Xenopus tropicalis: one gene and its partner. The protein of the gene in region 2 interacts with the protein of the main gene of each other region in a pairwise test. Links are inferred from orthologs where the notes say so. Each region holds a gene or a part of one and is shown on either strand. Other genes may lie near its edges.

Evidence for each region. The genes of interacting proteins can lie anywhere in the genome.
Region 1: the proteins of pnkp (region 2) and znf639 interact in binary tests that used the Homo sapiens proteins (3 or more experiments, as listed by UniProt). The two-hybrid records come from large-scale screens. The link is inferred for Xenopus tropicalis from reciprocal best matches to the Homo sapiens genes PNKP and ZNF639.

Annotation. Positions count from the first base shown.
Region 1 is NC_030681.2:108,913,948-108,918,092, forward strand, and holds the start of znf639 (zinc finger protein 639), read right to left. Parts: upstream 2,801-4,145; 5' UTR 2,644-2,800; intron 1-2,643. UniProt on the Homo sapiens protein: Binds DNA and may function as a transcriptional repressor.
Region 2 is NC_030683.2:117,566,168-117,570,447, reverse strand, and holds the start of pnkp (bifunctional polynucleotide phosphatase/kinase), read left to right. Parts: upstream 1-1,480; coding exon 1,481-1,607; intron 1,608-2,040; coding exon 2,041-2,087; intron 2,088-2,356; coding exon 2,357-2,902; intron 2,903-3,580; coding exon 3,581-3,660; intron 3,661-3,943; coding exon 3,944-4,001; intron 4,002-4,280. UniProt on the Homo sapiens protein: Plays a key role in the repair of DNA damage, functioning as part of both the non-homologous end-joining (NHEJ) and base excision repair (BER) pathways.

The DNA of each region.
Region 1 (4,145 bases), on a different chromosome or scaffold from region 2:
GCAAAGGCTGCACACATTAAAGCAGCTCTGCACCCTTTAGCCTCCATCTATGTAGCCCACTAGTCTGCTTGTAAAAAAAGAAAATTCCTGAATGATGGCCTAATTGAAAAATAAGTCTTCAGCATTCAGAACAGTCTGGGACTTTTTTTTTTCTTTGTATGCACACAAGGCACTATGTTAAAGGACATGTAAACCCCACACACAAAAACGTAATCAGTGAACAGCCTCTTTGAAATCTTTAAATACCTGGCACTAGGGCTGGGCGGTATGACCAAAAATTTATATCACGGTATTTTTCAAAATTATATCGGTGTCACGGTATTTGACGGTATTTTTTTTTCCAATTAACATTGGTGGCCAGGGCCCCTAAATATTGCTATTGAGACAATTAGTAGTGCTGGGCGGTATACCGGTTTAACCGGTATACCGGTTTTTTAAAAAAAAATGGTATGAGTTTTAAACATACCGCTATACCGGTATGCGCGCCTCCTGCTGTTTTTCTCCAATCACATCCGGGTTGCGCCCGTGCGTACGTGACGTCGGCGCGCATGTGACGTCAGCGCGCACGCGACGTCGCTAGGACGCATCGCTGGAGCTGGAGGAACAACAAGTTGGGTAAGTTCTGCTGGGGGGTTGTGGCTGGGGTTGGGGGGGTTGTGGCTGGGGGGGCTGGCTGGGGGGGTTGTGGCTGGGGTTGGTGTTGGGGGGGGCTGGGGTTGTTGGGGTTGTTGTTGGGGGGGGTGGGGGGCCACCAATATTTATTATTTATTTTTTATTTATATACCGTCAAATACCGTGATACCGATATAATTTTGAAAAATACCGTGATATAAATTTTTGGTCATACCGCCCAGCTCTAACAATTAGTATTTAATCCACAGGGAACAAAGTTGAAAATATATGGAAAGGCTTGTGTTGGTACAATTCCTCAGAGGTTCTAAATCGGTATATGAAGCACTGCTTCATGCAGTTCTGTACTTGGAATGTGCAATTTTGTATGGTTTGTCCCAGTGAGGCGCCAGTAGAGGGAGCATGTGACCAGCTAAGCAGGAAGCTTTCCCCCCCACTTTCCTCTTATAATTAGGATTATTATTTATAAGCACCACCCCCCATACAGCAAGTTGGCCAGCGATGCGGCCCGTGCCGCTTCTGTTGCCGCTTCGGGTCGCGCCCCGTGCGTACGTGACGTCAGTACGCACGGGCGCACCCCGATCTTCACCGGTATGGGGGTATTTCAAAAATGAATATCGTTTTTAAAAAAAAAAAAAACGGTATTCGGTATATGGCGGTATACCGCCCAGCACTACCTGGCACACTGGTTGTCCCCTTTATCACTTAGATTTCCTTCTCCTCCTCTAACCCACTCGGCCCCCTCCCTCTGGAATTTGCTTTGGCTGTTGGCTTGTGGGCATGCTCAGTTGTTCTAAACTCAGATTATTAAACACGCCCCCCAGTCTAGCAGCCAGTGAAGAGACGGCATTGCTGCCTAGTAGCTGCCGGCTTCAGTTTTTTTCTCCTAACCTCCTCTCCTTAGCTCAGCTCAAACAAAGCAGAACTTTTATCAAAGACAGTTGTGCCTGTGTGAGCCTGTATTCTTGATGAAATGTATGCTGAATAAGGGTCTGTGTGTGTGTATATGCTGTTTGCAGATTTAAATGTATCAGAGGAAATATGGCCACCAGGTGAAAGCTGCTATTTGCTTTAGGAAAATGTGATGGTGCTGGCAAGCGTAGGGGATATATGCAGTACAAATGATGCCATTTGGGTGGGGGAGACGTGCCCAACTGATATACATTGTAGGCAAATGTAGGCTTTACATGTCCTTTAAGAAAAACTTGCATACATTCCTGTGGTTCAAGTATATGTGATTGGACTTAAAACCAGAACCTATAACTGGTTCTAAGGACTTGTACGCAATTTTTGATGTCCAAAATGACATCAGCCTTCAGTACTAGTCAGTAGATACAAGAGAATGCCCTGAATCTGGTTTCCAATATTAGAAGTCACAGTGAGATGTGAATAATAAATAAAGAATGTATTAGCCCACAAAGATATCTATTTTATTATTACTACGGCTCATGCTCAGTTGGTGTTTCTGGCAACACACAGGCTACATACTATACAGCTTTATGATGAGATATAAAGGCAAGAAATGAGTGTTCCCTGTAAAAGTTCTCTGCTCAATAAGAACTCGTTGTGCAGGTACCAAGCTCTATATAGCGGGTGTCCCAATAAATGACTGATGGGGACAAAGACAGATCTATTTACAAACTCGTATTCTTCCTAGCCATAGGGAAATAGGAGAATATGTGAATGTATACATGATGAATTGCACCATGTAAGTGTGTGAGCCTGGGATAATAGCCACACTGCCTGTGCGACACACACACACACACACACACACACACACACACACACACACACACACACTACGTGAGTCCGTTGTACACACATTACGAGACTCTAACACACACACGTAATATAATCACTAAACCTCATACAAAAATAGGGAATGAATGCCTGGGCCTCAATTAGAATCAAAATGAGAAATCCTAGCCCCTGCAAACTGATTTGCACGATTAAAAGTAGCACAAGATATTGCAAAAAAGGCATCTCCTCTATGGCATCCATCTTGAGTCTCACCTGAGTTCCTCAGAGGGCCACGGAATTAAGCGTACACCAAATGGATCGAAATAACCCAGGACATGTCCTTCTCTAGCTGACAGGCCGGGAACTTAACCAACATGGAGATCACTCCTCCCCAAGGCCCCAGACCAACGACGGACAAAATGGAAAGAGAAGGGCGCGGGGAAGCGAGAAGCGTCACAGCGCCCCCTACTGGGCTCCCATAGCACAAAGCGCTGTGAGAGACTGCCAGCTCGCAATTCTGTAGGGGAAGGGCTGCTCACGGGCTACATGCTACATGTTCATAAAACATTCCTTTGTCACAATCCACTTGCTTTACAAAGCAGCCAAATGGATTTATATGAGTATGAGGGGCGCCTCTGAGTCAGGTCCTCAGGTGGCTACAGCTGCCTCAGTCTGACACTGACATGTGCATCTAGTAAGGAGATCTTTCAACCCAAACACAAAAGATTATACACATTTCTCTGAAACATATTCTGTTGATTGGAGAATAGATTACTTATTTATTTTAAAACATTGGTTATACATTCACACAGGCAAAAAATGGGCAAAGCATTTTAACAGATTATGTTCCAGTATCAACTTGTTTTGAAGTTTCACAGTGCTTGGAAACAGGGCTGAAATTATTATGGGGCACCCAAGGAAATCCAGCAATCGAAATACAGGTATCGGACCCCTTATCTGGAAACCCATTATCCAGAAAGTTCCAAATTACAGAAAGGCCATCTCCCATAGACTCTTAATTTTAATCAAATAATTTACATTTTTATAAATGATTTCTTTTTTCTCTGTAATAATAAAACAGTACCTTGTACTTGATCCCAACTATGATATAATTAATTCTTATTGGAGCCAAAACAATCCTATTGGGTTTAATTACTGTTTAAATAATTTTTTAGTAGACTTAAGGTAGGAGATCTGAATTACAGAAAGACCCCTTATCCAGAAAACCCCAGGTCCCAAGCATTCTGGATAATGGGTCCCATACCTGTACTAATATAGCCCAGATTACATACATAACATTAGAAAGTAAGAGATTATAACTATAAATCGCACCTAAAATGCAGACTGAAACTACAAGTTAAGGTGGCCACACACGTGGCGATGGTCGCACGAAACATTGTCAGATCCGCCACACACCGTCGGGGCTGAAACAGCAGATAAGGAGGTAGAAACAACAGGATTTCTACCTCCTTCTGCCGATTCAGCTCTGACGGCAGATTTTGGTCAGGCGCCTTCTATGGCGCCCGATCAAAATCTTTTAACCGGTCCGATCGGCAAATCGACCGATATCAGCAGCTTCCTGCGATATCGGTCGACTCGCCAACATGCCATACACGCACTGAATATCGTACGAAACGAGGTTTCGTACAATAGTATCGGTGCGTGTATGGCCAGCTTTAGGAGACAAAAGCAATAACCCCATCTTATAATCTCTATTAAAGATCCCAAACAAGCTGTTCATTATGATAAAATTGGAACTGTGAAATCTTTCCAAA
Region 2 (4,280 bases):
CCAGTCCTAATTTAACCCCTTTGCCTTGCAAGAAAGCAGTTTGGGGCATTTATTCCCGATTTTAGTTTTCCAAGGTTGGAGCCAACATGAGGCTGCAATGGAAAATATAATGTAGTTGGTAGATAAAGGGTAACACAGGGCTGGAAAGTGGGGGGAACCAAGAAAAGCGACTTTTTTATGTTACAAAAAAGAGTTCAGAGCTTTATAAACAAAGTTATATATTTAAATTTTTAGTGGGAAAAATATACTTTATTGACATTATACATAATTGTGGTGTTGGGCTGCCAAATCAAGCAGGACTGATACACGTGAGAAGTGCCACACAGCCATGCTGGGGTTTTTAGTTCAACATGTGTATTAAGGACATAAGCCCGGGATGTGAGGCAGGTGTGCCAAAGGTCCCCATATCTATAAAGCAATAAAGCTGATCTGTACTTTATATGTAAGCATTTCCATGCCTGGCTTGTTTCCTTAGGTTGCTAGGTATATGCAGTACTTAGTAGCAGAGCTAAGCTGGTCATACATGTGTATCAATACAGCTCTCATTGTGGGCCAATGCTTCTGAGAAGATGTGTGGCCACTTTTCAAGGAAATATCAGTCAGCAGCCTGATTGGGGGATGCCATATTCAGGCCAATAAGCTGCCGACTTAACCAGAAGGGGTAGAGTCAGAGCCTTTATCACTTGTGTATGGCCAGTTTAAGCCATATCCTCTGCTACATGGCAGCTCAGGTCCAGTGCCAGCCAGTAGGTGCAGTTGGTTGCAAGTCTGATGTGCATTGTGATAATGACCTTATTATTGATAAAAGCAGATATGTCGGCTATGCATGTGTGGGATCAAAATGTTAGAGATAGCCCACATTGCTCCCTATGAGTGTGTTTTCCCAAAAAGCAGGAAAGAAGGGTCATCATAGCCATTTTTAAGTTTTTAAAGTTGTAATGTGTCTCACCATCGACATAGGTACTCAAGAGGATAGGCTCAGGCTAATAAACAGTTAAGTGTTTTTTAAGAACCACTGGCTGCCCAAGTTTTCGCCTTTTCCAATCCTACAGAAAAGGCCCATCTGAGATAGTCCTGTGTAACTCACATTCTACTGGGAGTTGTAGCATGATAGTAACAGTTTAGCTGTGGCTTGTCAAGGGACAAATGGCAGGGTTAGATTATTGCCCTGAAGAAATGGAGCTAGCTGATGTCTCTGCTAAACACAATAGTATTTAGTCCTGATAAAGTCCCTAAATGTAAAGTTCATTGCTGGTTATTTGAAGCTGGGGCCAAACAAGTGAATACAATGCCTAGCATGGCCCTATCCAAATGCACTGTATTTTGGAAGATGAGGGTAGATGGGGAGGTGAGAGACATGATGATACTAAATATGTCAATGAAAGGCTTACAGTGATTGACAAGAGGGCCCTGTTCACTCTGTTGACTGTGTATTTTTGCACCCTATAATCCTAATTATAATTTCACAGAATCCGTGGAAATGAAGTGTTACTTGAGAAGCGTTGATGCAAAGCACAGTCCCATTGCCCTTCCTGATGGTAAAGGGGTCACTTTAGGAAGAGGACCAGAAACCCTTGTAACAGACAGGAAGTGTTCTAAGACTCAAGGTAGGGACCCATGTAAAAAATATATTGCTGGTGGAAAGGGTTTTCGGGGAGATTAGTCACCCGCGGTAGCAGAGATTAACCTCAGGTGCCTAAAAGGCTTTTCTTTAGAAAGGAAAGGGCCCTTTTATCCCTCAGTACAAAGGCATTGCAGAGGTAATTGTCTTCAGACCCTCCTTCATCACAGTGTGAGGGAAGGTCTGGCTTAATGGTAGAGCAGGGGCATTCCTTTACCTTATGGCTATGGAGGGTTCCTTTTCCTTGGTATCCACCAAAGCATCACCCAGGGCACAAATGCCTCAACAAAGTACAGTAAGTAGTAGGGAATCTACTCTTGACCTGTGGGACTGGAACACTTGTAGCACCTTCAACATCCTTGTGAAAAAAGTGGTTTTATGAATAAAAAATAAACATTTTAAAAAATGCTCTTTTCCAGTGGAACTTGTGGCTAATCTGGAGAACAGAGCAGTCCATGTAACCCAGGTAAGATACCTACTGTATTGGAGATGACTGATAATTGAAGCTCTATACAGCTTATTTCAGTGTAACTACTTTATCACTATCTGAAGCAACCAATCAAATGCAACACTTTGACTAGAGCATGTATCCCGGGTGACTTAATTATTTGTGTGTCTTTGACCAATGACCATGTATGTCCTTATCCAGAATCTGGCACTAATGACATTTGTTGTATGTTTATAGACTATGTTTTAGTGAGTGTAATTAACCTGACTTCATGTTTTTACTTATAGTTGGGTGCAAACCCTTGCTCAGTTGGAGAAGCAGTGCTGAAGAAGGGAGAGAGCATTTTAATGAAAGAAGATCAGACGCTTTTTTTGGTGAATAGGCTACATCCATATACTGTAATGTTTAAGGAAGATAGTCCTAAACCTGCTGCTGACACTGGAAAAATCAATAAGAAATCACCAAAGAACACCATAACTGAACCCCCTTCCACATCATCCAAGAAGACAATAACAGATTTCTTTGGGGCCTCCACATCCAAAGGAAAGAGGCGCATACAGCACGATAACACTTCCACTGGATCAAGCAACAAGAAGCCAAAGTACCAGGACCCAAAAGCTGAGGCTGGAGAAGAGTGGGATGACTCAGAAGAGGAGGAAATAGCACGCAAACTGTCTCACTTGCAGGAAACGGCGGCTAAAGCTAAGCCAAGCGAGAACCCATCTCAGGTTTCTTCAACTGATGAGAGAGGAGTTGCCTGTAGCAAAGATTCCTGGGAAGAACATGGGAAGCTTCTTCTCTTTAACAAGAAAGGGGTTCAGGCCAGTTCTAAGGTATTAAATCCATTAGTTTTCTGTTGGGTTTAAGGGCATATATAGGTCTTAAGCTGGCCTGCATGTGTCAATAATAGCTGCCAGCTTGGCCCCTCCAAATCAAGACCACTTATTCGTACATGTATGGGGCCTCTTGATATACGGGATAAGTATCTATCAGGCTGGTTTGAGAAGCCCATCCGATCAGCACCACATTGCCATGTTGATACATTCCTTACCATACTTTTCTCACCCAGGTCTCGTAAACCAAAAATTATATCAGCTTAATTAGGCCCAGTGAGTGGGTGACAAAATCATGCAAAGATCTGGCCAAACATGCAGTTCTTTAGGGTACTAGTAGCATCAACTTATCACGGCTACTAAAACAGACAATGCTGATGGTTTACTGATAAATGTCTCTACATGTGTTTTAGCAAAGGCAATTCTCAGTATTGTCTATGGCACGGTATATTCTGGCATTTACTAGCTATGATTAGTAGCTGCTACTAGTAGCTCCGTGTGTCTTTACCCTCAAGAACTGCATGTTAGGCCGGGTCACCCTTCACCCTTAAGTGTATAACCAGCTTTAGCACGGTAGCTTCTAAACAAATCTTTATTGCAGTCTGTAAGCCAATGAGTTGCACTCAGAGCATACAATGTACAAAGCAGCTATAAATCACTAACTTGTTCATCTTGCAGATTGCTGGGTTTGATATTGACGGGACAATTATAACAACAAAGTCAGGAAGAGTCTTCCCTGTAAACGCTGATGATTGGAAGTAAGTTAAAAGGAAATAAAAGCGTTCATTTTATCTCGGCATTTAAGTCTAAAACCTTTTAACACTTTTATGGGGGGAAGTAATTAAAGGCACTATGGAAAAAATAATCACAGGGCACAAAATGTATGCCTTTATGCGAACAAAATTTCCTTTGCGTGAATTTAATGTAGCTTTTGGGAGCCTGGAAACTGTTTAGCATTCACTTTCACCAGCAAGTAATATGGCAAATTTTATTGTTTGCACCAGTGCACAGTGTATAATTATGTTTCTCTTGATCTCACAGAATTTTATATCCAGAGGTTCCCAGGAAGTTAAAAGAGCTTCTAGCCAATGGCTACAAGGTATGTCTTCTGGAATTTTATGTGGGATTTATAATTCCTGGCATAGTGTGTGACATTGCCATGCTATTTAATCAGAGTTCTGCATGAAAATGTTCTCAGCACCAGTAGAAATCATTTCTAAGCAAGTGCTCAGTGGCCATGCATAGGAAACTGTTCCTGGACACAGCACATGTAAGTTAACTCCTTTATTCCCTAGCTCCAAAACATAAACAAAAAGGCAATGGGGTGAATCCCGGTATTTTGTCGCCAGCATGATGCCCTGCTAGAAATTGTCCCTCT